Notamacropus eugenii: one gene and its partners. The protein of the gene in region 4 interacts with the protein of the main gene of each other region in a pairwise test. Links are inferred from orthologs where the notes say so. Each region holds a gene or a part of one and is shown on either strand. Other genes may lie near its edges.

Region 1 (8,004 bases), on a different chromosome or scaffold from region 4:
AGCACTGTTCCTGATAAACTGGGCTATAAGCTAGTTGTTCTGAGAACTCATCACTCCATATTTTGACTTCACAAGTACAAGCCATTCCCCCATGGCTAGAAACACCTCTCAGAATCCTTATCATCTTTCAAAGCTTTTATCTCCTTCATGATGGTCCCATTTATTAAAGTTTTCTAGCTCTTCAAATTATTTCGTACTTTACTCATCTATATTCATACTTTATCACACTCCATCCTACCCATAGTAGAATGTGAGCTCCTTGAAGGCAAAGACTTTCCTTTCCTTTGTCGCTTTATCCCCAGTGCCTATCATAATGTTTTATATTTCTTGAATTGAACAGCATTCTATCCAAAACAGACATGAATAATGTAGGGTCGTTAAGGAAAGGTGAAAAGCAAGGAGTTTGTCTTGTTTGACACTGAATGACATGACAAAAAGGCTGGCTAAAGAATAATTTAACAGCTTATCTACCAGTTCACTACTTCAACTACTGAAACACACAGCCTTTCTGTATTACAGTTGTTCTGTGTCCTTCCAAACCAGTCATTCTTTGAAACTGGAAGAGGCGGCAAACGGTAAACAGCAATGGCAATCTCACAGTAATTACTTAGTACACTTGTATACAACTGCTATTTTCCTTCCTGTCTAAATGTGTCTGATATGAAAATTACTTCCCCTTCAACTCAGAAAATGTAGCAAGTGTAATACTATAAGGTATTGTAGTATTCATATACAATTATAAAGTAACTCATTATATAGATATGATTTTTTTCAAATTCTAAGTATCTCCACACCGTATTCTAGGATCCTTATAAGAGTAATGCTCTAGGAGGCAGCTGGAGAATAGAGGGCTGGGTCTAGATTTAGGAAGATGTTAATTCATATCAGGTCTCACATACGCACTTATAGCTATGCGATTCATGTTGTTTGCTGAGGTTTTCTGAACGGCAATGTGGGGAATAATAATATTAACAACTACACAGCAGGGTCATTTTGTAAAAAGCACCTGGCACATAGCACTATGAAAATGTTTACTGCTTTCCCTTAAAATGTTCATGTTATTTCTATTGTTCGAGTGATTATTTTCAAGATTTAAACATTTTACACTTGCAAGAACAGAAAATAAGGATGCAGGCAAAAGTCACAAAAAGCCCTTAAATATTGTATGCCACAAACTTCTTCCTAACCTATCCTTGCGGCCAACCACTTAACCTGTATAATCTTTAAACCCAAATCATGTCATTTGCTAAAAATCTATGTTGTGCCTCAGAACCACGGCCAAACATTAGAAATAACTTTAATTTTTTAAAAGCTGAAGTGTAAGTGTCTGTAGTTGAATCAAATGATCCAGCTTATAAACTGCAACTCTTGCACGGTATACAAAGGGTCGACTCCTGGGGAGTTAACAATTAATCTGATAACATTCCTGAAATTTTCTAATCCTGACTTCTTGTACAAACAGGTGTAGCCTGGTCTGATATAGCTTAATGTTACTAAGGAAGGTAGTTGCATTACATCTCTCGGTTAAATTTTCCCCCCTTACGCTGTGACTGACTGCTTGCTCCCAGGTCACATAAAACTCTGCAGGTGGTAACAAGTAAGGGAGAGGAGGAACTAAGACAGACCTCCAGCTAACTCAACCACAGCCCTGCCCCAAGCCACTGGGAGATGCAGCCCAAGCCTGACAAGGCCTACACCCCCACCCGGCAAAATCCTCCCCAGCCCCAGAAGAGCCGGCAGTCCATGTAAGGAACGCTTTCTCAACAACCCGCAGCAGAACCCGTCGCTCCGCACCGGCCATCGGGGGTTGGACGGAGCCGAGCACCACCGCAGCCTAAGACTTCAGCGCGGCCGTTCCCGTCCCGTCCCCCCGACCCCCCTCCGCTTCCTCGGGGCTCAGAAGTATCAGAGACCGAGTTTCCACTGCGCATGGCGGAGAGGCAAACAGCATCCATTCCCCGCCTCCCCAGCCCCCCCTCCACCTCCCCGGCCTTCCAGGGGAAGACAAGCACCGGTAGGGAGGGAGGGAGGGAGGGAAGGAGGGACCAGGCCCGGGTGAGAATGTAGCAGAAACAAGCCCTGTCGGAGGAGCCGCAGCATTTCCTGCTCGAACCAGACCTTTCGATTGGAAACGGAAGGAGCCGGGGAACAGCTGGCATTGCAGCCCCAAAGCACCCGAGCGTTTCTCCTACGGAGCCCAGCGCCCGGAGGGGGCGGGGGAGAGCGACCAAGCTGGGGCTGGGGGCTGGGGGCGCTTCCTGGCCCCCTTCATTCATTTCTAAGCGCCGGCGTCCGCAGCCTTTCCCGTTTTGGAGGATGCTGAAGGCTACCCAAGGGGGTTAAGTGGGAGCCCGAAAGGAGTCCCGTTTCTGGGGATGGGGAGACTCCCGGGCAAAAGGAACCCCTTCCCCGCCCACCCCCAGTGGCCTGAGAATAAAGTTTGAAGGAGAAGGAGCAGGGAAGGTGACACCGCCTCGGGCCCCCGCCCCCCCAGCCTCCCTGGCTGGGCCCTGGAGGTGGGCAGCGCTCCCGGGACGGACCCTCCCTCCCCTCTCCCACTCTTTCCAGAGGGGGCGGCGAATGTCGGGAAACTGACCACACATTTCTTGCCGAGGAAGCCGAAGAGCGCCTCGTTCTCCTGCGGGGTGAGGAGCAGCGAGCCCACGTTGGTGACCCTCCTCGGCGGCGGCTGCTGCTGCGGCTGGCTGTTGCTCATGGTGGCGGGGGCCGGCGGGGCCGGGGCCGGGGCCGGAGCTGGGGCCGTGTCTTCCGCGTCCTCCTCCTCCGCCGCGGGGCGGCCGGGCGGCTGCGTGGGTCTCCCCCTTGCAGTGACAGGGGCGGGGAGAAGCGGAGTCAGAGCCGCAGCATCTCAGGGCTTCTGGGGGAGGGGGGGACGAGGAGGAGCCGGACGCGGGCGGGGGTTGGGGGGACCTCGCTTCGGGCTTGGTGGAGGAGAGAGGTTGCCGGCTGCCGATGCTCTGCTGTCCGCGTCCTCCGCGACTAGAGACGGCGCTAAACTCTGGACTCCTCCGGCTCCTCCGAGGCAGCAGCGACGGCGACGGCGGCGGCGGCGGCGGCTGCGGTGGGGGCCGCAGAATCCAACATGGCAGCGGGGGCGGGCGAGACCACAGGACACGGGAGGCGGGGGTGCGCGCCGGAAACTTGCGGCCGCCAGAGCCAGAACAACCTTTCTCCTCCTCCCCCCCTCCCCTCGTCCCAGTCCGCCCGCCCAGTCCCGCCCCACAGGCTCCGCCTCCTCGCCTGCAGATCCCGCCTCCCCTTCCGCCCGAGGTGGGAGTGCGGCCGGTGCGCACAACTAGCAGCCCGGCCGCCAGCTGCTCGTCAAGGTGACGATGTGCCCTCGGGCTCTCCTCCCTCTTGAGGTCGACCTGTTGGCCTGTGGAGGCCGCGGTCTCCAGTTAGGGTCCAGCCTCAACTGCTACAGCTTCTCGGGGACTAAAGGACCAGGCGTGGGTGGAGGGATGCGGGGAATCCCATCTCCCTCCTGCACCCCCTCACCTCTCCCCGTGCCCGAACCTCCCAGCAGGCCTTGGCCTCGCCTCCGGGAAATGGGGCTTGTTTGGGGGCTCGCCGACGGAACGCGCGCCCGCCTCGCCCCTTACACACCCAGCCCCCGCCCCGGGCAGCGTCACCCGAAAGTGCAGGTGTCCGAGCTCTTCTCTAGTTTTGTCCCAACTTCCGAGGGAGTGGAGGAGTCTAGCGGCAGGCCGCTCTCGGCCCCGGGGAATTGCGTGAAAGCGCCCGGCCTGGCTGCCTCGGCCCGCCCGGAGGGGCAGTGACGCCGTGCACCTGGTGGACTCCCCGCTTGTGCACGGACCTTCGCCGTGAGCCCCAGAAAGGACTCCTTCTCGGAGGCGGACTCGCCGCCCTCTTCCCACCCGGGAGAGGGGCCGAAGGCTCTCTTTATTTAGTTCCCTTAAGCAGACTCCTTTGGGGATGTTACCTGTAACATCCTTAACAACCATCAGGCGTCAGTGACTTTTCTGTGCCCGGCACATAGTAGGCACTTAAGAAATGTTTGTTGAATTAGTGTAGAAATAGTTGCCGAATGCTTTGAAATAAACCTCAACAATTTTTTAAAAATCGATGTCTTTTATTGTTGTGCAATGCTGAATGCTGATATCACCTGAATTATATTTGGTTCAAATCAATAAGCATTTATGAAATTTTTGCTAAGTGCCAGGCACTGCCCTAGACATAAACGACCCAAGGACAAAGAAAACCCAACTAATCCTTGCTCTCAAGAAACTCACATTCTGTTGAGGGAGACAACGTGCAAACAACTACATACAAACTGTAGAAACAGGAGAGAAAATCACAAAGAAAGCATGAGTAGCATGAGGGAGAGTAGGAAAGGCTTCTGAGAGGATGGGACTTTAACTTGGGCTTGAAGGAAGTCGGATATGAGAAAGAACTTTTTTAGTTGTGGAGGACACAGTAAAATGCATGAAACTGGAGTGTCTTCCAAGTATGAAAAATTAGCAAGGTAGTCAGTGTCGCTAGATCTGAGAGTATGATGAGGGGAGTAAGGTGTAAGAAGACTGGAAAATTAGGAAGGGGACAAATTAGGGCTCTAAAAGCCAAACAGATTTTATATTTGATCCTGGAGGAAATAGGGAGCCAATGGAGTTTATTGAATAGGGGAATGTGACATGGTCAGATGTACTAAGGTTTAGGAAGACTAGCTGATTGGCATTGGGAGAGACTTGAGGAAGGTAGACAGATTAGAAGTTTCAATAAATAAAATTGTTGTATTGGAATATAATAAAGATCTATTACATATATAAATACCGAGATTGGTTCTCTGCTGCCTTTTTCATCCATTGTAAATCTTTGTATGTTTATATGTACTTAATGTACCCCCATAATCAAGTACAGCACCTGGATCAGTACATTCTTAATAAATAATGATTGATTGGTTGTTATATCTCCATTGCCTTAAAATTCTATCACCTAAAACTCTCCCCCAAGAACCTGGTGTTTGGAGGCAGCTAGGTAATACAGCAGATACCTCACTAGCTCTAGAGTCAGGAAGACCAAGAATTCAGATAATTTACTACCTATGTGATCATGGGCAAGTCAAAATCTCTGCCAGTTGCCTCATCTGTAAAAATGGGAATAATAATAGCACTTACCTCATAGTGTTACTGTGTGGATAAAATTAGATGATGTTTGTAAAGTGCTTTGCATACTTAAAGCTCTACATAGAAGCTAGCTGTTATTATTCTGCACCAATGATGAGAATGGGCACATGAAATTATGGGTAGTATAGATAAGCTATTGCCCAGTTTCAGGATGAGGTGTTTTAGCTGTTCATCGTAAAACAAATACAGTTTAAACCCCCCATCAGTTTATTCTCTACCAACAGACCTGGAACTATACATCAAGTAGCAAAACCTTTATTTGGCACAAAATAGCAAAGTCAATAAGCAGGAAACATCCCCTTTTATACAAAAAGAGAGTCTTCTGCAGATTGACATATTGATGCAAGAGATCACACTTTCCTCTAGCCACCATCCCGTAGAGCCGCTTCTACCCTGAACATCTCATGATCTTTGATCTTGAAATTATATCACAGCAGGTAACTCCCTGTGGTAGGAGCCTCATCTGCTCCAAGTAGGCTAAGCTATTAGATTTCCTCTAAAGAGCAAAAAGTATCTTCAAGATTTAATGGTCTTGAAGACTAATGCTTGAATCTTTGATATAGTTTCCTAGTAACCTATGTAAAAAAGCCCAGTAAAGGAGAGCCCTCAGGTATATATCATGGTGGCAAATGGGGAGGCATGGAAGCTGCATCTAAATATATCAGTGTTGTAAGGATCCTGAAAACTCTTTCAATGCTATTAAGTAAATTCCTTTTTGTTAAATGTTATACAGTCTACAAGTGTCTTATATTCCAATATTCCAATCCTGAGCTGTTACCACTAAGTAGGCCTGAGCAAAACCTGATCCACCTCTCAGAAAGCATCTGTATTTCCCTGATGCTGGCTATATGTCACTGCTACTCCACTATACTTTAAAAGCTGTGCATCCTCTCTCTTTCCAAAGCTACCCAGAAGAACTGCTGTTATAATCTGTTGGAGTATGCTGGTAAATTTTTAGCAGTAGTTCTAAAAAAAAAAAAAAGTACAACATGCTTTTAAATTTAATTTGCATTATTAACATTTTCTTAAATCTTGAACAATTAATCAAGCCCTGATTTGTAGCATTTGCCAATTTCTGAGGCATCCCCCCCAAATACACAACCAGGTTCTCATTAGCCTTTTCAACTGTCTCCTGCACACCCCTGTTTTGCTGTGCTGTTTCTCTGAGCTTCTGCAGCCATGGAATTCTAAGGCTTCTTCCTCAAAGAAAGTAATATAACTTTCTCTTATGAAACTACTAACGCCTTGAGCTAATCAACACATTTCAGATCTTTTGTTAATCAGGGTCACATCTACATCTGGCCTAGTCAAACTGGCAGCAAAATCCTTCATCTCAAGATGTTTCTTTCCCAACCAACTTGCACTGTCCTCCCCTGAGGAATTCCCCCAGCTATTTATTGATACCTTTGATAATTAGGTCAGGAAGAGTCAATGCATTCATGGCCTTCAATTCCTGCAGTCTAGTACCAGAACTATGAAAATTGTCCAGAAGTTTTGATTAAGCTTTAAGTAGGTACTTAACTTATTATAACCTTTATCTTAATGATTGCATTAACTCAACATCTACATTACATTTGCTACATTTGTAGCAAATGCTACAAATCAGGGCTTGACTAATTGTTCAAGATTTAAGAAAACGTTAATAATGCAAATTAAATTTAAAAGCATGTTGTACTTTTTTTTTTTAGAACTACTGCTAAAAACTTACCAGCACACTCCAACAGATTACAACAGCTGTTCTTCTGGGTAATAGTTTGGCTTAGTTAGCTAGAACATAGAACATGTGAAGGGTAACCGTATGACATCAGACTGAAAAGGTAAATTTTGCCCAAAACATTGAATGCCAGGAATAGAAATTTATTCTATATTCATTAAGCAGTAGGAATCCTGAAGATTTAAAGTAGGCACAATCAGTGCTTTAGGATGATTATTGGGTCACTGCCATGGGAGATTGCATGGAGACTGGAGAAGTACAAAAGATGATTAGGAGACTTTTTTAATAGTTCAGGTGAATGGTTGGTGATGAAACCTGGAACAAAGCTCATTGCCTTTGGAATGAGAGAAAGGGTCAGATGTGGGAGATACTGTAGAAGTAGGGATTCTTAACGTTTCTTTTTTTTTGTCACAAACGGACCCCTTGGGCAGCCCGTCAAAACCTATGAATCTCTTCTCAGAATAATATTTCAAAATGTATAAATTAAAATACAAAAGATGACAAAGGAAGTCAATTATATTAAAATACAGTTAGCAAAATATTACAAAAAAAAATTTAACAGACCTTAGATTAAGAATCCCTGTTGTAGAGATAGATTTGATAGGCAATGCATGCGCAGGAGGAGAAAGAGGGAAAACTCAAAGCAGTAGAGCAGTAATTGCATAATGCAATTAAATCTAGAGAGGCAGTGATAGAAAATAGAATTTTGGAATTAGAGGAAGATCTTTGAGATCTTCTAATTCATCCCTTCCTCCTATTTTACAGAAAAGAATAGAAATATCCAGTAGACGTTATGTAATTTGTCTAAGGTTATATCAGGTTACATCAGTGGCAAAATCAGTACTAGCCCAGGACTAATTCCACAACTACTACCTCTGCCCCTTGGATAACTTAGCTAGCAAAATATACTCAAAGACTTTTGCCTCATTACAAAATTGGGGTTTCTATATGTTGACAGCACAGATATGGACATCAGAAAGTCTCAGAAATTCTTAGGAAAGGATAAGTTAATTAATTTAAATTCTTTGCATTTTTTAAAATTTGTCCTCCCTTTGTTATTCATCTTGATGTTTACTTGAGCTTTTCCACAACTCTTCTTTTACTAAGTGATAACAGATTAATTCA
Region 2 (7,756 bases), on a different chromosome or scaffold from region 4:
CAATTTTATACTTTTGGTTTTTTTGAGAGGGGAGGAAGTGGAAATGGAAATCATATTTCATTAAATCTATTTTTATTCTATCAGGTGGTTCACCAGAGTAGCACAAATAGGGGGTTTTGGTTGTTTTGTTTTCTTTCAATAGAGTTCCACCTTGCCCCAAAGCCATTTCTATACCTTGGGCAAAAGAACTTATCACCCAACATTTCCAACATAAAATAAGAATATGACAATACAAAGGCATAACCAAACAACACTGTATCTCAAAAACAAATCCCTAAAAAATTTAACTGAAATAGCCTAGTTATTCAAGAGAATTTTTTAAGGCACTTGTTCAATTACAACTTGTTTTTTTAGGCAATTTCATTTAAAAAACCCCAAACAAAAAGCTTCTAAAAACCAACCTTGCCCTTGGAGAACAGCTGAGAAAATGAATCTCCCTTTATTTTTATCAAAGATATGGGTGCAACTTCATCTACCACTGGTTGTAGCTATAATTGTGAAAACCAATTATATGAACCTTTATCCACTCTTTTTTAAATCCTTTGTTCAAATAATAAAGACCTTTCAAAGACAGACTGTACCTGTAAAAGACTAATTCCAACTTCATTTCAGATAAATGGAGGCTCATCATAACATGACCAAACTCGTACAGCTAGTTAGTGGCTGAGCTGTAACTACAACTTTCTTCTCATCTGCCTCTCAATCCCGCGCTCTTTATTTGTACAACACTGCCTCCCCACGGAATATGTTAATTCCTAACCTTTCCTTCACAGTAAAATACTTCACAAGGAAAAATGTACATGTAACTCTTTTAGTAAATCAAGACCTAAAACTTTCTTTTATTCTTCCAATGTGATACTAGATCTAAAATCTGGTCACATGTCATGCAAACTTCTGTTATAAGCTTTGATTATAACGGCTACACAGAAGAACTATAATCAAGGATTATGTTCTTAAATCTTTTTTTACCTATGACGGAGGTCAACAATCACTAGAAGGAGTAAAATAATGTAAATACTAAATGTTTTTCCACTGCCTTATCTGGAAATGTGGGAGGCTGGCCTCTTTGAACTCTTAAGATCTTTTAAGGTGGCAAAGAAATGTAAAGGATGCGAAAAGGTTGAGCACAATATGCCAGCAACGTACGCACAGCACCTTTCTTTGCTCATTTCTTCCCTTAGCCTGCTATCACAACATTGAAATGCTGCCTCTACCCACCCTACTGTAAAGTGCATCTAGATCTAGGTCTGTGGCCAGTCGCTCACGCTCACAGCAATGTTTAACCTGAATTCTCTTCATTATATGCACTCAGGATGCTGTAAGGATACAAAAATGACCCTCCAGTATTCACATAGTCAGAACTACAGGTCACTTCAAATTTTCCTCTCTTACTAACCATTCTTAACAAGTACACCCAGATTATCAGGTTCCTGCGGAGGATGTTTTGATAAAAGACTTCCTATTGTAACAGTGTAGTCCATGTAATCACAAATGTTTGGGAATCCTTGCCCTCCTCCACTATTTTCTGTGCTAATCTGGTAGAACAAAGGATCCTTTTATTAGCGTCCATAACACGCAGCTGGAAGGCACAGCGGGCACTGCGGGTCCTGAAATCAGGATAATGGGAGTTCAAATTCTGTCTCCGACATCCACTACGTGATCGTCACTTCACCTGCTTCCTACCTGTAAAACGGGACTAACAGCGCCTACCTGCCCTCAATTATAACACATGTGAATCACTTTACAAGCGCTGAGGCGCTACGTAAGTACTAGAGGGCATTCAGCAGAGATGTGCTACCCTGTGCCTAAAAACTAACAGTATGACTTCCCGTGAAGGATTTTCTGGCCCCATTTCCTCTACTGTATTTTACCCTAATTAAAAATTAGAATTGTCCATTTTCAGCTACCATTTTCAAACAGTAAGCTAACCCAAGAACCGTCATGTCGGTCATCTGAGGTCTGGACCATCTCCTGTACACTTTGGACGTGTCCGGCTGCCTGGCGGCGGTCTCTGAAGGAGACTCGGGCAAGCGCTCGGAGGGCCGGCACTCTCACAAACCCTCATCCCTGACCCGTCTAACTTCTCCTCTGGGCCATCCACACCGCGAGCCTGCAGGGCCATACCTACCTCCCAGCCAAGCTTCACTAACTATGACTGTAACCTGCAGATAGAAAGCGGTCAGTCAGCTACGTTAGGGTTAATTATGCTCCCCACAAACGCAATTTAGGGCCAACACTGCCAAAGCCACCTTTTCTGTCGTGGAGGAGAGAAAAAAGAGTGAACGTTAGTATTCTGCAGCCGCCACGGGGACTGGGTGCATGGACGGCACACCACCGGCCAGACGGGTTGGGATCGTTCTCCACGCACACTCGCGACGGCCGCTCGCCGCCCCCCCCAGAACGGAAGGGGCCCGGATGGCGCTGAGCATCTCCAGGGAAACCCGCCCCCTTCCCGATCTTTAATTAGGGACCAGAGCATTGAGTAAGGATCGGCGTCACCACGAGCTCACCCCCCCCCGCCCACATCTCGCGGGCTCCGCCGGGGCCGTGGGCCGTTACCCCAGGGGGAGGGGAGACGGAGGCGGGCGCCGTTACACAGCGGCACATGCTCGCGGGGCCTGCGGAACTATGTCCACCCACCATGGAGTCGAGGCCCATTCGAAGCCTTTCCCCCCAACCCTCAGACTCAAGCCGCGCCAGGAAGTCCGTCTGGGCCGCGCTATTATCATGGAGGGACGCGCTCTGCGCCTCTCCCCCACGTTCCCTTCCCCCGCCCTGCCTTCCCCCAAGGGTCTCAGGGTCTCCCCCGGCTTGACTGTCACCACTCACCCGGTGGGGAGAGGGAGAAAGGGGTGGATTCTGAATCTCCGCCTCCCCGATCCGACAGCGGCAAAGAAACGGACTCCCGCTCCCGCAAGCCTCTTCCACCGCTACTATTACTTCTCCGTCCCCGTCTCCGTCTCCTCACAAAATGGCCCCCGCGTCTCGTCCACCGACACCGCGAAAACCGAGACCTCCGCCCCACTCCTAGAGGCCTTTCTATTGGCTAATGCTGCTCTCCGTCCCTACTCCCGATTAGACCGTTCGACTGCCAGTCACAGCTCTGTCCAATAGGAATCATGGGTAGGTTAGTCAGAATGGCAGTGAGTCCGCACCAGAGGGAGAAACTGGCCTTTCATTGGCTGTAGATGTTGTCATTTGAACTCAAGAAGGTGCTCATTGGTCAACGGAGGAAACGAAGAGGCAACAGAGAGACTCGCCTTTGTATCCGCGCAGGACTTCACATCCGGGTACCACCAGTTTTACAAGCGAGCTCTGATTGGAGGTCGCGGAAGCTCCTCCTGACCCCTTCCCCCTCAGCGCGCGAGTTCGAAGGCCCGCCCCGTTCTCCGAATTCCCGCGGCGCTAACAGACGCCCACGAGAAGCAGGGCCCGAGCTTTTCCCTTTCATTCCCCCTCCCCCGCGCCTCGCGTTGCACCACGTGCGCACGCCTCCCCACCGATGCCCAACCCGAGGTGGCGGGAAGAACCAGAGGGCCGCGTGTGTACGAAGAAGGCCTGGCTGGGGAAGGCCTTCTCCTGTCACCACCGCCACGAGCGCCCCCCGCAGCTCCCCACTCTGCCTTTAACCTGCCATTTCACAGCTGCCGAAGTAATAACATTGCCAGTGCGTCCGCTCAGGGCCCTCCCCCGCATGCCCCTGGTCTCCACGAGGAATCCCAGACGAGGATCCGAGGCCTTTGCCCCGGCCGTACCTCCCTCTGACGTGCCTTCTTGGACCACCCCACCCGCAGGGGCGAGGTGCCAGCACCCCGACTACGGCCCACCCTTCTCCAAAGTTACTGTGCTGAGATACCCAGAGGTTCTGCATGTGATTGGGGGCAGCACTCAAATTATCAATGCCCTCAGGGCAAAGGTCGGGCCTTCTAGACCTTAGCCTGAATGGGCCAGGGTCTCCCGGTGCATCCTGGGCCATCTCCAGTCATCCAGATGGCTCGGGAGGAGAAGCGAGGCTGGTGACTGCACAGCCCTCCCCCACCCAGATCCAAGTCAAGGGCGAGTGATGTCATCCTCTCCCTGCCGTCATCCTCTCCTGCCGTCATCCTCTCCCTGACGTCATCCTCTCCCTGCCGTCATCCTCTCCCTGCCGTCATCCTCTCCCTGACATCATCCTCTCCTGACGTCATCCTCTCCCTGACGTCATCCTCTCCCTGACGTCATCCTCTCCCTGACGTCAGGTGCGTACCACGGGGCACCAGAAGTGCTAGAAGAATCTTGTTAAGAAAAAAACGCGCACACCCCAGGACAAATGTGGGGGGCCGAATAACGTGTTTTCTGTTTTCCGTGAAGCCTCGCTCAGCGCTTGGCCCTGAAGGGCCCCAAGACTGCTTTGTATTCACCTGGGTTCGTCCAAGGACCATCAGTTGTCTCCAGGTGGAGTCTTCTGCCCCTCTCCAAGACCAGCACGGGATCACCTGGCTGCTGAGGTGTGGAGGATGAATGGGGGCACTCCCGCTGATCAAAGCACAGATACCTGGATGTGTGGAAGTCCTTCATGGAAACTGCCACCTTCACACTGATGTCACAGCCAGTGGATGTTTGCTGAGAGCCGCTCTGCGCTCTGTTCTGAGCAGTGGGGATACAAAAGAAGGCAGAAGACGGCTGGTGCTCATGGGAACAACTGTGTACTCACAGGATACAAGCCAAAGAAGTTGGAAATCATCAACACTGGGAGAGCACTAGAGTGAAGGAGGATCAGGAAAGAGTTCTTGCAGAAAGTAGCATTTTAGCTGGGACTTGAAGGAAGCCAGGGAAACCAGGAGGCACCAGGAGGAAGGAAGGAAGTCATCTGAAGCATGGGGAGTTGGCAGATGGCATTTCTTCTGATTAATAAGAAAAGCAGCTAACATGTATGTAGCGCTTACCGGGTACTGTACAAAGCGCTTTACAGATCCTTACAACAACCCCAGGAGTAGGTGCTATTTCCCATTTTACAGAGGGGTAAACTGAGGCAGACAAAGGCTAAGTGACTTGCCCAGGGTCACGTAGCTCATAATATGTGAGGTCTGATTTGAACTCAAGAGTCTTCCTGACTCCAGCTGCATCTATCCGCTGCATCATTTAGCTAGCTATGAAGAATAAAAAATATATGGAAAAGTTTATGAAATAACATCAAGTAAATAGACAAAGCCAGAAGAATGAAAATACCACTTGCTACAACTGTGTAAGAGAAAAAAAAAGAGACTAAATGGACAAAGAATCCTGATTGAATATAGAGCATCCGATTAAAGGGTTAGGACATTTTATAGGTTAAAATTAAAGTAAATATGAACTGTTACCCAGTGTGTTTAATCAGTTATGTTGATATTGAATATCAAGGTTGTAACAAAGGTTTTTATAAAGAAAACTGCCACCTTTATAGAAAATGAAAGAAAAATGTTTTCATAGGATTATAGAAAATTCTTTAGCAATTATTTGATAGAATTGATTATTGATTGTGTTCTAGATACTATAAGGAATCCTAAAGGAAATACCGTAAAAGAGAAGAGTCCTGCCTTCAGTTCAACAAACATTTGTTAAATGTTCATAAAACCGTGGACTTAGACCTGGAAGGAATCTTAAAAGATCATCTAGTTCAATCTCCTCATTTAACATATAAGGAAATTGAGACCAGAGAGATTAAGTAACTTGATGAGGTCACATGGGAAATAAATGTCGGGGTCAACATTCGAACTCAAGTCCTACAGCTCCAAGTTCATTGATTTTTTCATTGTACTTTGCTGCCTATTAATTGTATGGTACTATGCTAGGTGTTAGGAATTCAAGAATGACAACACAAAATCCTGTTCTCAGTGACTGAATAATCTACCATAGTAGTTGGAATAAGATATGTACACAGATAGCTATAATATACATTAGAATATGATTAAGTGTGTAAGAGAGAGGGAAGGATGACTTCCAGCCATTGTAATGAGGGAAACCTCAGAAGAGAAGGTAACACCTGAGCTGGGCTTTGAAGAAGTAGCATTTTTACATCAGAGATATAGAGGGAATCTAGAGCTAGCTATTCTGGCACTCAGGACAAGCAGCAAGAAAAGTTTACTTACATCAATTTGGCAATTAATGTAAAAATAATGAGACGAAAAATTCATTTGTGACGGGAAATTATAACTCATTACAAGGTTCACGTTAATGATACGGTAGCTTATTTTAACTAGTCTTACCAAGTAGAAGTTCAGTCATTTCTACGCTGGTAAAAGTGTACAAGGCTATCAACATGGAAGAAAATTTTAAATTGTATAATCTTTTAAGTTTGTCTTTTTAATATTTTTGTGCCCTCTAAATCAGGGGTTCTGAGTGGAAAGATTTATTGGATTTTTTTTCAATTTTATTTCAATTGTATTTCAATCAGTATTGATCAGGGTGATTCTACAGGGACAATGATTATAAGCAATTATTAAGGATATACTTATCTACTAATAAACATATAGTCAGTTTACCCAACTAATATTAGTATAAGAATAACATATTAATGCATATTTTACAATATAAGGATAAGTAGATAAGATAGATTTTTCTTTTCTGTATAGTAGGCCTCAAACTTTAAAACCTATAAATTCCCTGGTCACTACTTACTTACTAGTTTTAAAATTCGCTTGCATAAGAATGAGGGTATCTGCACCCTGTTTTGTTCAGTTACTGTGACCAAACCGCATGGGTGGGATGCTTTGGCTTGATATAGAAAGTCCTCCAGTTTATTTTTGTACCTGTGGACCACCCTCTCTTGCCCAATGTGAGGAGGAACCCATCTTACGATCACCTAGTAGAAACTATATTAGTTATGTTGTGAACGCAGTTATTGAAATTTTAAAAATAGATTCATAGAACCTATGCTTAGAGCCCTTGTTTTAAATATTGATCACCAGGAACACAGCCCCAGCTTCCTACCCTAGTTACAGCTTTGAGGGAGTCCATGCTAATAAGCTATAGAGCTTGAATATCTAAATACCACACAATGACAAAACTACATACCACTGCCATTTCATGATATAATTATTGAAAAGTCTCCATTAATGACTGTCTTGCAAAGTAGGAAGCTGTGCACACTTTCACAAACCTTGGGCAAGACATTTTATTTCCCTGGGTCTCAGTTTCCTCAATTGTCAAATGAGAGAATTTTACTGTATGGCCTCTGAGAGCCCTTCCAACTCCAAATTCCGATAACTTCACACAATTTACTTAGCTAGTGTCACGTATTCATTATTAGACGGAGCTATGCAAACAAAACCAATTCCTCTCAATTGAAGATTTTCCTCTAGAGAAGTTAAAAAGCAGTTTTCCATAGCTGTTTTTTATAGACCTAATTAAAAGGATTTCTGCTCTTTGGATTTTTCCTCCTCTGCATTCACCCTCTACTCTTTTTTTCCAACATCTATTGAATTTACCTCATACTTTTCTTTGGGCGAGGGGAAAGCTGGATACCTGTCATAGACTTTCACACTGTATTTTGGACGATTAGAGGAAGGGATTGCAAAAATCTCCCTTTCCCAGAGCAGAGGAGACCTGAAAACAAGGTCAGACGGAATGTGGGAGTCTTCGAAGTTTAAATGCATAAACTAAAATACATAGGCTAACTCCACCCTGAAACTTTCTGTCTGGGTGCTACGGAGGGAATCGGGAGATTAATGAGTAACAAAATTCAACAAAATCTCACCAGGAAAGGAGTAGAAAATAGAACCTGTTTGAGGGATTCTAG
Region 3 (6,528 bases), on a different chromosome or scaffold from region 4:
CCTAAAACTTCCCCAAAACAGAGATGGTTGTACTTAATTAGTATTCAGTGCAGGTCTGTTACTGCAAGTAATCCCTGACTGACCTTTGTGCTCAGGCCTTCCGACAGCTGTCCCACCGATTCCATGGAAAGGGTTCCGGCAAAATGAAGACTGAGCGGCGGATGAAGAAGCTCGATGAGGAAGCTGTGAGTGGTTGGGGTGGGGGAGGGGGGTGTCTTTCAAGAGTTTGTAAAAGTGGCCACTGAGCATAAGGGGTCCCCTTGTTACAGCTCTTGAAAAAGATGAGCTCCAGTGACACACCCCTGGGCACAGTGGCCTTGCTCCAGGAAAAACAGAAAGCCCAGAAGACCCCGTACATCGTACTTAGTGGCAGCGGCAAGAGCATGAATGCGTGAGCAGGGGATGGGCCTTGGGACAGGGGAGGGAGAGGCACTTGTGTCTGTTTCCCTCCCTCATCTCTTGTCTCTTCTTTCCACAGAAACACCATCACAAAGTGAAGATGTCTCGTATCCTCAGTCCTTTAATATTAAATAAAGTTCCCTCCTTATTTTTTCCTCCCTTGTTTAAGTTATGATTCCATTTTCCTCCCTTGAGTCAGAGCTGGACAGAGAGTTGGGTGGTGGAACTAGGTATTGCCTGTCCTGGAGCCCATTCTGAAATGCCCCCAGTGGCTGGTTAGCACTGTAGCCAGCCCCCCACCCAAGTTTTTGGTCCCTCCTTTGCACCGGAGTGAGAAGTCAAAGTCGGAATTGCTTTACTAGGCACACTGGTACAAGTCAACCACAGCTCTCAACCCACCAGGGGTTTAATCTCTTACAGAGAAGAGTAGGAGTCCAGATGGGAGCCCTGCCTCATCCCCAGCCAGGGGGTGGATGCACAGAGCAAGCCCATTTCTGTCCATGGAGGTGGGGTCAAGGTATAGGACTAGGCTTCCGGCTGGAAAGGAAGCTGCAATCTCAGGCCTCTTCCTCACTCTCCTCCTCGCTCTCCTGGTACTGCACCCGATTGGTGTTGACAAAAAGGTCCGAGTCATCTGCAGAGCTGTCGTCTTCTGAAGACTGGGCTTCTCCTGGAAGTTCTGGCTGAGGCGGTCTGCAGGGAGGAGGATGAGTGAGAGAGGCTCCTGGAAGCCATACCCAGGACAGAAGCACTTCCAGATTCCAAGCCGAGGAAGCAGAAGTTGGAACAGCTCAGGATCCCCCCCAACCTGAGAAACATCAGTCCCATTTACACGTGAGACTGGGGCAAGCTAGCCCCAAGTAAGCAGCTGGGCATGGACAGCCTTGGGGCTGCCTCCCTAGTTAGCATTCGCAAGCAGCTGGACAGACAAGTCCACCCCAAAGAGGGTGCTGGCCTGCTAGCAGCCTGTGCTGGAGGGAGGAGAGGGGACAGCCGAGACACTCACCTGCTTCTGCTGTTTTGTTTCTCTGCCACCTCTGAGAAGGCTTCAGGCCTAAATAAGGGAAAGGATTTAGGGGGCGGAGAGGAGCCGGGCCAGGTGAGCCCTCCCCCCAGGACCCCGGGCCCTACCAGAGCCCCTCCTTCTGTAGGGAGCGGACGTGGTCCTTGCAGAGGACGAAGGAGATCTCGGCCTTCACCTTCTCGCCCTCCTCGATGGGGTCCACGATGAGAAAGTCTCCTGCAGGAGAGGCCGCGGGTGAGGCCTGGCAGCCGGGCAGGGCCGGGCCTCTGCCCCCGCCCCCTTACCTCTCTTGATCCAGATGTTCTTGCGGTACTTGGAGGGCATGCTGACCAGGAAGCGCTGCCCCTGCGCCGTCTCCACCTCGTGCAGGTTGTTGCCAGGGGTCCCCAAGACCTGCCCGGGGCGGAGGAGAGCGTGTTGGGGGAGGGGGTGCAGCGGCCGGGAGATCCCGGGAGGGGGGCGGGGGGCCGGGGCTCACCCTCACGATCTGCTGCTGGTCTGACGGCACCATGTGCTCCCCTAGCACCTCCTGCACCACGTGCTTCCGCTTGGTGGTCTGAGACATGCTGGTTCCGAGTCTGTGGAGGTCAGGACCCCCACAGGAGTCAGTGACCCGCCGGGGCGGGATCCCACTAGCTGGCTAGGGGTTTCTTGAGGGTCTCGGAGACCGGGTGCAGCCCGGGCTTAACCCGACGCCTCTGGGATGGTCGAGGGGGAGGTGACGGGGGTCTGGGTCCCGCGGGCCGGCCCCAGACACTGATGGGGGGAGGGGTGACGAGCCGTCTCCAGCCTCCGCCGGAAACCCTTGCTACCTAAGATCGGGAAACAGCCGGCGGGGCTGGGCCCCGCCGCCTCCACAGGGCCCTCTGCCACCATACCTTCCCGCTGGCCACTGCCGCAGCCTCCGCCGAGACCGCCAGCCCGAGCCGAGAACTTCCGGAGACCACGCTTCCGGTGCTCGCTTCGGGAGGGGGAGGGGGAAAAGAGGGCTCGGTGTTCCCGGCTAAATCTTCCCCTTGCTAGGCACCGCAGACCCCGGCACTTTAGTTCCGCCTCTGCCGCTGCCGGCCCCGTCTTGGGCTGAGTGGGGAGCCTCCGCAAGCGCCACGCGTGTAGTGAGCACCCTCCACTCCACGCCCCGCGCCGGGAGGAGTGCGGCCCCAGATCTGGCCATAGAGAAGAGAGAACAGAGCGGCGCCGTCTCCCTGGGAACCATCCTGAGGCACGCTTCCGCCGCAGACGCGCATGCGCCTGGTCCTCGCCTCCCTCCCTTCCCCTCCCCTCCCTTCCCCTCCCCTTTCCCCGGTTCCGCCTCATTGCCTTAGGCCCCGCCCCCCCTTCCCGCCTCCCTTCAAATTGCCCTTGACCCGGAAACGACTCTGACAACCTGGAAGCGGAAGCCGGCACGCGCCTTGCGGTATTGAGGCAGCGGCGGGAGAGGCCGGTTAAGTGGTAGTGTGACCGTTACAGAAGCCGGAGCCGGAGCCGGTGGGCGTGCGCGCGGCTTACGAGCGCCAGGGTCGTGGGCAGGGTTGGGGCGAGTCGGGGGAGACCCGGGCGGCTGTGATGACCCTTCCCCCCTCCCGCCGGGGAACGCGGGGAGGCAGACGCGGGGGCTGAGGGGGCGGGGCCCGCGAGGGGGCGGGGCCATGGGTTGGGGCTGGCGGCCACGTGCGGAGGGGGCGGGGCTTGCGCGGGCGCGGTGCCTGGAGCTCCCCTGGCTTGGGGCGGAGGCGAGCGTGTGCTTTCCCTGTGGTCCGCCCCAGGTCTGTGGTGAGGAGCCATGACGACCTCCCAAAAGCACCGGGACTTCGTGGCCGAGCCCATGGGGGAGAAGCCCGTGGGGAGCCTGGCGGGCATCGGAGAAGTGCTGGGCAAGAAGCTCGAGGACAAGGGCTTCGATAAGGTCCGGGGCCCTCGCGGGACCAGAGGGAAGACTGAGGCAGGGTGGGGATCGGCGCCGACCCCTGGCGTGGCTGTGGGGCCCCGGAGGAGGAAAGGAAGGGCGGGTGACCCCCGGGAGCCCCGGGCTGTGTGTGCCGGCCTGCGCATTCATTCCTGGGAGATGGGGGCGGATCCCGCGAGCACAGCTGGGCCCGGGGGCGCTATCAGCCCCTTAGAAGGGGAGGGGTGGGCGGTGACTCGGCCCCAGCTCGTTCCCAGGTGGCCTGCCCACAGCCTTCTGGCTCTGTGTCTCTTTCAGGCCTACGTGGTTCTGGGCCAGTTCCTGGTGCTGAAAAAAGACGAAGACCTCTTCCGAGAGTGGCTGAAAGACACCTGTGGGGCCAATGCCAAGCAGGCTCGGGATTGCTTTGGCTGCCTTCGAGAATGGTGTGACGCCTTCTTGTGAGCCCCGTGCCTGGGGGCCGGCCCCCCTTACCCCCTCCGATGGGTCTTCACAGTTAGCACCCCCAAGTGGGAAATCCTGCCCCTCTCTCCCTTCCCACCTCCCAACAGAAGGAAAGATTTTTGCTGCCGCCCCCACCTGGGACACCTTCCCCTCTCCACCACTATTTTGACTCAAGCCTCCCTGTCCACACCTCAGCATGCCTCCTGGTCCTGTAAATTTCAGTGGCGATAGTTATTAGCTTTCCTGGGTGGGTCTCTGGAGTGGCTTCCCTACCCCCTAACCCCCCACTTTTGATCTCTTTTATGCCATTTGGGTAACTTTGGTAGAGGGATGTTCACTGCCATTGTAAAGAGTTTTTTAAAACCAATAAAGTCATCAGCCTTGACATCTGTTCTTAGTTACGTGAACAGGAATTGGGACAAGGGGGAATGTTGGATCAGGAAGCAGCCACTTCCTTCAAGAACACCGCTCTTATCAGATACTAACCCAAACTGTAAACTCATCCCATGACTATCTTCAGGTCATTGGAGTAGGTGTCTTGGGACTTGGGCAAATATGTTGGTGTCCTAGCTCCTTAGTTATGTGGGGGAAAGGTTTTTTGTGACTTCCTCCTAGGGCTGAGGTTTCAGCTGCTGTGCCTGAGTGCCTCGGTATAGGCAGAGTAGTCTAGTGAGTATCAAAGAAGGGCATGTCACCAGAGGCTAGTATTGGGCCTGGTCCAGGATGTGGCTCATTGATCACCTGCTGAGGGGAGCCATCTGCCAGGTTGCAGGGACGGCTGATCGGGTTTCCTGTGTTGGGTTAGATGGGGGTGGAAGACCAGCTGTCCACCTTCGATTCCCAGGGATGCTTCTGGTGAAGCCTAGGAATGACTGCAGGGAGCAAGGAACACCATTCCTGTGTTAACCACAACATTCCAGGCACAAGAAAACACCTGGCTATTTGGGAGAGTACCCAGAGAGTGAACTAGCCCCGCTGCCTAGGAGGAGCCAGTGCAGGGAGAAGCTGGCGGTTGCAACAAGGGAAAAAACTGCTTTACATCATCTGCCCAAAGAAAGTGATAAATGTACTGTCTAGAGAGAAGTTTATGAACAAGTTTGATCTGTTATGGCGCCCCCTCCAGCCTCATCTCTCTTCACTGTGCTTAGGTGGCTTGGAAGCAAAGGTCCTGTGTTTAAATTCTATCTCTGTTGTGACCAGTATGTCTTTAAGCAATTCGCTCTCTGGACTACAGCTTCCTCATCCTCTGTCAATTAGGGTGTCTCCTTCCAGTGTACCTAGGATTCTATGATTGAGGAAAGAGGAGGTTGGTTTTTTATGTTCCATGGTGAGGGAGGAATGTCCCTGTGGTTAAATGAGGTCATCCTGACTCCCACCACCTCCAGGAAGCCTTCCCTGACTACTCCAGCCCACACTGAGTTTTCACCTTTCTGTAACCTACAACATATGCTTGCACCATAGTTTTTGTGTTTGTTAGACACTGCTCTATATTGTTCTCTGCTTCATGTGTGGTCGTGTTCCGTGACTATGTTAGAGGGATTGAGCAAAGTGTCAGGACTGATCCTTTCTTGAGGTTGCAAGCACAGGTGGCCAGACACATAGTAGGGGCCCAGGAGGCAAATATCTGTTTATCTTCCCAGTTACTGGCTGGAGTTAGGTTCATATGAGGCAAGAAGGAGCAATGACAGGTCATCTCTGTATTCTCTTGGTGGGATCCTGTGGCCATTTGTGATGTTGGCACCCCAGAGCATACCCTTGGAAAGGGTGAGACTGGCCAAAGGATGACAGAACAAAAGAGAGTCCTGGGGAGACTTGTGGCAATGGGTGAGCCAGCAGCTTGCTGTCCCATGCCCAAGGGGAAGGTGTTATCTGATGCTGAGCCTACAGAAATCCCAGGTAGGGCGTGCTCACTGGGAGGTGAGGATGGGGCAGGGCTCCATCACTGACACGGAGCACCCACTCTGCTCCCTTGCTTAGCCCAGCCTGACACTTTCATCGCCCCCTCCCACCCTGCTACCAGTTGCTGGCATACTTTTGACTGGTGCCATCTAGAACTCTGGGTGTAGCTGGACAAGGTCCCTTCTCTGTTGAACCTGGGGAGATTGACAGGGAGCTGACCAAACCACATCCCCCCATACCCTGAGTAAGTTACTAGAGCCCCAGATGGCAGGAATGTGGCCCTTGATTGTTGGGCCCAGTGAAAGGTGTAATACGTGTTGTGAGGGGCTCAGCAAGCCCTTCCCTGCTGATTCAGAACCTAGAACTTCCCCCTTTTCCTTTCCTGACAAGGTAACTTCACAAGACAATCAAAGCAGTGCTACTGCAAAGAGCAGTCATCAACAAAACCCTACAAAAATGCTGAAAAAACCCTAAAATCCAAATCATGGCTCTGAATAGATGCAGAAAAGAACACTGTTTACAGTGTGAGGCTAAAAGGACAGGGCAGAATTGGCCCGGGCGGGGAATGTGGGGGGTATGTCCTCCCCGTGTGGTGTTTTGTGGGGGGTCTGGCCTCCCCGTGTGGTGTTTTGTGGGGGGTATGTCCTCCCAGTGTGGTGTTTTGTGGGGGGGGTCTGACCTCCCCATGTGCTGTTTTGTGGAGGGTCTGGCCTCCCTGTGTGGTGTTTTGTGGGGGGTCTGACCTCCCTGTGTGCTGTTTTGTGGGGGGGTCTGACCTCCCCATGTGCTGTTTTGTGGGGGGTCTGACCTCCCCGTGTGATGCTTTTTTTTAGTTAAAGGGGCCATCCCTTGACCA
Region 4 (8,145 bases):
TATATGGAGGAATTCATGGGAAGCAGCTGTGGCAAAATGAACACAAAAAATCACAAAAAATTCAAAACATTTTAAAAGTAATTAAATGAACCTCCCTACCTATCAATCCGAGAGACCTTCCTCGGATAGTTTCCCTTTTGTAACATGTCTTCCCATTTGCATTTATCTGACTCACTGTTATTTTTAATATTTATGTTCTAGGTTTTGATTCCTCTGACATTCATTTAAACCAGATTTTACCTTTACAAACATGCCAAGAATAGAAGACAGACCCACTCCTTTCTTGGGATATTCTCTCTCCACTTACCTAGAATTAAACTGGTTTACCCCTGACACCTAACAAATGATCCACTGGCCTAAAAGCAACCATCAGAAAAAATATTTCCAGAAATATCCAACAAATCTTAAATGTCAGCATATATTCACGTGATAAAAACATCATTATGAAAGCTTTGTGCGACCTTGGAACAAAAGATATACTAAAGGGGGAGGATAGGAGGGAATAATGACCTTCCTTCTTGGAACAAGTGATGAGAAAGAATAGGATCATATTGCTGGAAATAACCTCAGAAAATATCTAGTTCAATCCTTTCCTTTCATAAATGTGGGAAAGTAAATCACAGGCAGGTTAATTGGCTTGCCCCCAGTCACATAGGTACTATGTGACAGTCTTCTGACCCCAAAGCCAAAGGTTCTCCTACCATACTCAAAAAACATTTTCCTATTCATTTGTCTATAACTTTGAAAAAATAAATACTTCCTAAAGGGCAATAGAAAACTATGATATACATATAATTGAATTAATGTTCCATAAAGGTAATTTTTTAAAAAACAAATTCCATGTTCCACATATCTAAACTAGACTATGAAAAGACAATAGAGTATAGTAGAAATAGTGCTAGACTTTGCAGTGCTAGTAGTTATTAGCTCTGTGATCAGGGCAAATCACTTCATCTCCATTTCCTCATCTGTTTTCTCATCCAGCTCACTAGTGATCTTCGTTAAGTCAAGAGACTTAACCTACTTCTCTGTATCTGTCTCATCTGTAAAATGAAGGGGTTGTATCAGGATGAGCTCTAAAGTTCAAGATCAAGATCTCTGGTCCTGTTCATTTCAGACTCTTGTTCCAAGAGGTAAGTTCATATATTCATGTCTCAATTAATATTCCCTTTGAGTATTTCTTTTGCTTCAACCTAGCACCCAAATGATATTCATGTTTTTCTTAAGCATACTCTTTAAGATGGACAAAACAGAAAAACCTTAGTGAGAATGTAAAGAGCTTTGCAAACTCTAGATCACAAGAGAAATGGCAGCTATTTGTGTTTACAGATAAAGAAAACTGAGGCCCAGAGAAATGACTTAAATTGACTTTCTTATGGTTACATAGTGCCAAAGGATAAAAATAGATTTCACCTACCTAATTCTGTCAAAAATCTGGAGGATAAGTCAACTCTAAGGAGATAGTTTATTAACTACAGTAACTATCTACTATTATTAGATTTTTCCCATTCTGGTTGGGGAGTACGGTATACTACCATTCCTACCAGTATCTTGGAAAAAAAAAAGACCAGAAATTAACAGCCAAAATCTAGTTTAGGTTACAATTTTATGGTTACCGAATAATCTTTATGAAAAGCTTGATGAATTTTTTAAAATTTTTATACTGCTTACTTTTGTACTATTTAGCTCAAATGTCTTGTAGGGCTACCAGGCTCTCTAAGAGTTCATTGGTGATAACCAACAAACTATGAAGTTACAATTTTTATCTTTCTACATTTTTAGTCCCAAGCTAGGATGAGAAAAAAAATGAAACGACTAGACAACTAAGATCTTCTCTACATCTTCTGCATATAGCGTAACAGGAAACCCTAAACCCAGTGGGTAGGGCTACTACCCAATCTTTATAAAATATACTTGAGGCAGAACTGCAGCCTATAAAAAGACATGTCAAATGAACTAACACTGTATTAAGTGCCTATTATGTGCCAGAAACTGTGCTAATAACTACCATGAGTGGTCATTCATTTAAAACTTTTCCCTTTATAAGTCACTAGTATTCTTTTCCCTCAACTAGAGGCCAGCCGCAGATATTAATAGAAATTACAATTTGGCACAAAATACGCCCCAGAAACATAGACTTTTGAAATAGCCTTGGAATTTCCTGTCAAAACTCTGTCATTTCGGTTGAAATGAAAAGCCCGTGTTGTAAGAGTCCCCTCTACACTTCAATCAGCATTTATTAAGCGCCTGCTAAAGACTGTCAACAACCACTCTCGGCTCTCGGCCCCCGGCCCTCCGGGTCAGGAAGGCAGGCTCCGGGGCCCAGGGCCGAGGGCTCTGGGCTGTCCGCGCCCACACCCGGCAGTGCCCTCCACCGGATCCACCTTCTCCCAAGTCAAGGTCTGTGCGGCGAGCCAAGGCTTGGGTCATCTCCACGTCCCCAGCCGAAGCTGCGCCCACGGAACCAACAAGCCCCCCACCCCCTCCAGGCCCCAGGCGCCCCACCAAGAGGCGGGGAGCGAGCCCGCAGCCCGGCTTCTTTGGGGTGCTTCTCCCCCGTTCCTGAGCCTCTCGCAGGTAACGGGGGTTCGGGAGGAGGTGCCCCGAGGCCCACGCCCTTCCCCCCCTTGGTTCTGCCCCGGGGGCGGCGGCTTTCCGCGCCCCCCCCCCCAAGCCCGAGCCCCGGGCGGGGGCCCATTCGGATCGCGGCTCCTGGGGGGGGGGGCGGATGAAGCCCCAGCGCAGCTTCCGCCCCGCCCCGGGGGTTCACAGCCCCAAGGGGTGAGTCCTACGGCTTCCCATCCTCGCCCCCAAACCCACCGAGCCCGGGACGGGGGGGTCACCTTGCCATTCCGCCCCCCCTAAAGCCTGCCGCCCACCTGAGCGTCGTCCGCTGTCTCCTCCAACGGGTCTCAACTGCTTTTCCCAGCAACGGTTTTCCCGATCCTCAGGGAAGGGAGAAGTCCGGGAACCGAGCAATCAGTCAGCGGGGGAGTTACGTCACCCACCCTAAGCCCCGCCCCCCGCCTGCGCAGACCACTCTCCGACATCCAGGTCAGGTGACACTCTCCTCGGTCACTCTCCCCCGCCCTCGGGGTTGCCAAGACAACCTTGGGGCGGGGCTAAGCCTGAGAGGCTGGGAGAGGGGGAAGGGGATGTGGTTTGGCATAGAGCCACTGTCCCCTCTGCTCGTTTCGCTGGCTCGCGTCCTTCAGCCCCTGCAGGAGGCGGAAAACCATCCGCGACCCCCTGGGGACGGAGACTCCCCGCTTTCCGCTTTCTCCATCCTTACCTTGGAGGCGCCCGGCACACAGCGGGCGCGTCATGAATGTTGATTGATCCGACCACTGACCTCCCAACTAAACTCGCCCCCTCCGCAGGAAGCGCTCCCGACGCCCCGGATTCCGGAATCTCCTGTCTCTGCCCTGACCACCTCTCTCCGGCTTCCTCCTGCAGGAAGCCTTCCTGAACCCCCTTTATCCCGGTGCTTTCTTCCTCTTAGTTAGGTCTCCTTGGTCCTGGCTGTGGTGTGCCTTGTCCACGTTCGTCTCCCCGTAAGCTCCTTGAGGGTGAGGGCCGTCCTTTGCCTTTGTGTACCCAGCTCTCAGCACAGTGCCTTGGCTTAAGGAAGGCTCCCGAACCGAATTCATCAAGATGTCTGAGTACACCCCCCTTCCCCCACTTACTGTCTTCTTATTGCCCGGATCCCCAGAGCCCCTCTGTAATAGGGGACCCAAGTCTGAGTACTAATCATTAATTAGCTGCTAAATGCAAATTGCGGCTGTATGTTAAGCAACTTATAATTTTATTATAGGTAAAATATGAATGTAGCAAAGGAGTTGGTCAAGGAACCCCAGGACAATTGACTTCTGCCTCTGCTCCCCATCTACTTGGAGACTTTAGAATGTAAGGAGGAAGTGATGGCTTGGAAGGCGTGAAAGGGCACAGCCTTGTCAGGCACTTGGCTGCTGGTAGTGAGGTGCCCTCTTCAGACTCTGAACAGCCCATTTGTACAGGGAACTAGGTTAAAGTTTGGGAAAGATAAGCGTGCCCTTTCCTCTGCATAACAATAAGAGTAACGAGAATAGGAGCTAGCATCTGTGTAGTCCTTTTAGGGTTACAAAGCACTTCCTACTCATCTGATTCTCCCAACCCTTTATGTAAAGTAAGTGCTGTTATATTCCCACTTTTCAGGTGAGGAAAATGAGGCTGAGAAAAGGTAAGTGATTCGCCCAAGGTTATGTAGTCTACTCTTTGACTTGGGCAAACAGGAAGGACCTGAGGCGCAAGAGCCAAGCCTGCTGTCTAGCAAACAGATGGATCAAGAACAAAAGAGAGTTGGTTATGGAGAAAGCACTCAGCTTTTGAGATTTTCATTCTTTACATTTTCCCTTGTACATCTTGGAGAGTGCCACAAAGAAAGGAAAGAATCACCCCCACCCACGTGGTTGACAATGGCATCTTGAAGTAGAAGCACTTAGCAGTGTCAGGAAGTATAGGGTCCATGGTAGTCAACAACAGGAGTTATATGGCAGCTGGAGACAGGATCCTACTTAGGAGATGGCTTCAGTGAATCTTACAGTATGGATTCCAGTTCTGCCCCAAACTGCATACCTGTACTTTAGTCCACGATTACGGCTGAGTCCAAAGGCAGAGACAGTGGAGACTACAGCAAAATATCAGATCTATTGAGTATCACCCAAAGCTTAAGGGGCCCAGAAGGGAAACTCATCCAAAAAGTGATACTGTGCTCCTGGAGGGACAACAACTCCAGGAAGTTCTGAGAAGACACTGGAAATCTGTAGCACCAGAAGTATTGATTGCATTGGTCACTTGGGTTCCCTATTTGTGTTCCATTCTATTTGTAAAGTTTATGCACTGATGCAGTATATATTTATGGGAGAGTATGCCCCAGCTTGTGGAGGACATTTTATTGCTACTGTACTTAGCTATGTGAGCTGGGGCAATTCCTTTATTATCTGCTCATTGTGTGCTCTAGGTAGCTAAGAAGAAGAATACTTCAGGAGAGGCTTATAAGGCATAAAGCTACTAGTGAGGACCCTTAAAATGTTGTACTTGGGGTAGTTATTCCTCAGTGATCTCAGCTCGCGATTGCTATTTGAGGGAGCAGACCAGAGGAAGTACTATACTATGAGGGCTCTACCAGTATAAATTTTGAATATTTTATGAATATGTAGAAACCTACTGAGAAGATTTTTTTTTTATTTCTACCATCACTGAAAGTGCTTAAAACACAAAAGACTCGCAAGTACACATCAACAAATGCAGAAACATAAAATAATATCCTGTCTCTTACATTACTCTCTTCCCAGAGGTAAAGACAATTTTGTGAAACTGCTGAAACCCACATTCTGTTTGCATATCAAACCTGCACGGTATGAGCTGCTTACAACAAATTTCCTGGCCATCCAAGGTATAGCTTGGGTTTTTTATGCATTTCTGTAGTAGTGGTACTTCTTGGTAGTGGTACTTCTTCTCTTCTGAGATGTAACGATGGTAATCACCTCCCAGTGGTCAGCTATCACTCAGCTGAATAATTCTCAGCATTTTTACTTCATGAGTTTATAGCAAGGGCTAGAAATGTCCATATCTCAGGTTTAGTGATATATTTTATGCTCAGGGGAAAAACAAAAAGTAAAAAGTAGTTAAGGACTCAGGCTCACATAGGCAAACACCATGTTGTTGTTGCCATATGATAGCAGTCATCATTGCCGTTGGGCTAGGACGAAGATAGAACTTCTTCACCTTCCCCTTGCTGGCAATCCAAGAGAGGGCAAGCACTGGAAGATTCCCATATCCATAAAAGATCATGAGTTATTTCTTCTCAGTTCCTCTTAAAATCCACCAAATATACAACTCCTCCTGCTCCTGACAATCGACTTTCACTCAATCCCCATCATTGGTGACCAATCAAGTGTTGCTACAGTTTCTCAATTAAGCTTATGTCCTTCAGAAACAGGCTAGAGTACATGGCCACAGAAAAGAAACAGAGCACCTGCCTAGCTCTACAGGTAGTACCCTAGTCTAACCGATCAAAGGGTTTCCCTCTTCACACTCATTACATGAATAATTCTCATAAACATTTGCAATGTTTGTGGGCTTTTGAACATGCCTGGCTTGTCTGACATGAAGCTCATGGAGCTCATGGGGTCCCCTGCCACATAAGTGGGGTAGCCTCCTCTGGCTCTCTATTTCTCTCCCTCTGTGTCTCCCTCTGTGTCTCTCTTTGTCTGTCTGTCTGTCTCTCTCTTTGTCTCTCTCTGTCTCTCTCTCTGTGTATCTCTGTCTCTGTCTCTCCCTCTCTCTCTTTCTTTCTCTCTGTCTGTCTGTCTATCTGTCTCTCTCTCTGTCTCTCTGTCTCGCTCTGTCTCTCTTCCTCTCTCTCTGTCTCTCTGTCTCTCTCTCTGTCTCTCTCCCTCTCTCTCTCTGTCTCTTTGTCTCTCTCTGTCTCTGTCTCTCTCTGTCTCTCTCTGTCCTCTCTCTCTTACTCCTCCCTCTCCCATCTTTTGTCTATGCTCCTAGCTGCTACTCCTAGCCTGGATGTTTGCCCCTACACTTCCTCTTTTACTCTGGCTCTAAGACATGGATCTAAGGGTGTTTGTTTCTCTTCTCTGTTGTTTGTCTCTAGTTTCAGGTGCTAGAAGTGATCCCCAGAGGACCAGGAGTTCAAGCCATAACCACCTTGGAGCCAGGATTGCAGGTAGGATAGTGCAACTGTACACTACACCCCCCCACTCCAGTAAAGGGAAGCCACAGAACCCAGGGTACCTTGGACTGGAGCCCAAGTGAAGCGTTTGGACATTGACCTGAGACTTTGTTCTAAGGGAACTGGATCCAAACTATAAACCTAATCACCTTCCTGTCCCCAGAGACTGAGGTAGTATGGAGGGAGGAGGAATTATGCATCTCCATGATGGGAGAGGCAGAGAGTATGTATGTTAGTGAAGTAAATATTCCTCTTTATAAAAGCTCCACTGTGTTACACATTTATTTACAGTTTTGAGAATTAAGATTTTCATTTTTTTATTTGCAAAGTACCTGAAATACTAATTCTATAACACAATTTTGACTGTTGTTCTGTAGGTTTCTGTCTTCATTTGAATAAACTACTAAAAAGTTAATTATTTGCGGGTCATTTGATCTGTAAGATTATGTAACTCCTTCCTTCTTTTAATGCCAGCCACATGACAAATCAACCACAGTCTCTCCGCATGATAACAATGTCTTAAAAAATTATTTTTCTCTATGTGCAATTTCATATAGCATTATGAACAATTCCTTGTAAGACAGCAAAACCACTACTCAGCTGACTAGCATGCAACATACTTATTTCCACATATACGAACTGTTTCTCACTTTAGATGATGAGTAATTTACTGAAAAGTTGCATACAAAGCATTTTTTTTAAAAACTGAGTGTATAGTCTAAATGGACAAGTAGTAAATTTTTAAAAAGAAATTCTGAGATAAATAATTCTGTGAAATCAAGGGTATGTGAAAAAACACATTTGGATTATGGTATTGATAAAATATAGGCTGGATTTACCTCCCCCTGAAAATGTTGCCTTTAGAAAATTGAGGTGTAGCCTTCTATAATCAGTTATTTCAAAATATATATCATTTGTATGTGTATACATACATACATATGCATACATAAGGAATAGCATTTTTCAGCTGTGATCTTGTAATGCCAATGAGAGTTAAAGATCTTCCCCACCCATTGATGGGCCTGCCCATTAAGAGAAACTTGATTAGGGGAGACCCACACCTTTCCTTAATTTATAAAGAGGCACTGGTTCTCAAGGGTTGTGATGCCCTCTGACTCTGAAAAGTTTATAAATACTCTGAAGTGAGGTTTAACTTTGGGGCTTACTTATTGGAAGTGTTTGGCCAGATGAGACTCTGGGCAACCACTAGGGAGTCCCCCCCACTTTGAAAACCCAGATGTTGGTGCTTCTCTCTGGTAACTATGTAAGTATGCTCAGACAGCTGGATCTGTCTGTTAATCTGTGACGTCTGTATTGCTTACAGTCAGATAGTTGGAAGCCCTGTCTATTGATTTTTATTTCTTTATATTTTCTCTGAAGTTCAGGATGCTGACTTTGCCCCTGAACTAAGTGAATGA

Evidence for each region.
Region 1: the proteins of SDCBP (region 4) and WASL interact in binary tests that used the Homo sapiens proteins (3 or more experiments, as listed by UniProt). The two-hybrid records come from large-scale screens. The link is inferred for Notamacropus eugenii from reciprocal best matches to the Homo sapiens genes SDCBP and WASL.
Region 2: the proteins of SDCBP (region 4) and HNRNPC interact in binary tests that used the Homo sapiens proteins (3 or more experiments, as listed by UniProt). The two-hybrid records come from large-scale screens. The link is inferred for Notamacropus eugenii from reciprocal best matches to the Homo sapiens genes SDCBP and HNRNPC.
Region 3: the proteins of SDCBP (region 4) and EIF1AD interact in binary tests that used the Homo sapiens proteins (3 or more experiments, as listed by UniProt). The two-hybrid records come from large-scale screens. The link is inferred for Notamacropus eugenii from reciprocal best matches to the Homo sapiens genes SDCBP and EIF1AD.

Annotation. Positions count from the first base shown.
Region 1 is NC_092874.1:127,331,903-127,339,906, reverse strand, and holds the start of WASL (actin nucleation-promoting factor WASL), read right to left. Parts: upstream 3,185-8,004; 5' UTR 2,717-3,184; coding exon 2,597-2,716; intron 1-2,596. UniProt on the Homo sapiens protein: Regulates actin polymerization by stimulating the actin-nucleating activity of the Arp2/3 complex. Involved in various processes, such as mitosis and cytokinesis, via its role in the regulation of actin polymerization.
Region 2 is NC_092878.1:12,639,354-12,647,109, reverse strand, and holds the start of HNRNPC (heterogeneous nuclear ribonucleoproteins C1/C2), read right to left. Parts: upstream 3,091-7,756; 5' UTR 2,830-3,090; intron 1-2,829. UniProt on the Homo sapiens protein: Binds pre-mRNA and nucleates the assembly of 40S hnRNP particles. Interacts with poly-U tracts in the 3'-UTR or 5'-UTR of mRNA and modulates the stability and the level of translation of bound mRNA molecules. Single HNRNPC tetramers bind 230-240 nucleotides.
Region 3 is NC_092873.1:18,668,448-18,674,975, forward strand, and holds EIF1AD (probable RNA-binding protein EIF1AD), read right to left. Parts: upstream 2,438-6,528; 5' UTR 2,302-2,437; intron 2,002-2,301; 5' UTR 1,989-2,001; coding exon 1,902-1,988; intron 1,817-1,901; coding exon 1,708-1,816; intron 1,640-1,707; coding exon 1,531-1,639; intron 1,454-1,530; coding exon 1,406-1,453; intron 1,093-1,405; coding exon 957-1,092; 3' UTR 738-956; downstream 1-737. Other genes in the region: SART1 (U4/U6.U5 tri-snRNP-associated protein 1), read left to right, coding at 96-185, 270-391, 479-497; BANF1 (barrier-to-autointegration factor), read left to right, coding at 3,207-3,329, 3,627-3,773.
Region 4 is NC_092875.1:277,130,293-277,138,437, reverse strand, and holds the start of SDCBP (syntenin-1), read right to left. Parts: upstream 3,104-8,145; 5' UTR 2,880-3,103; intron 1-2,879. UniProt on the Homo sapiens protein: Multifunctional adapter protein involved in diverse array of functions including trafficking of transmembrane proteins, neuro and immunomodulation, exosome biogenesis, and tumorigenesis.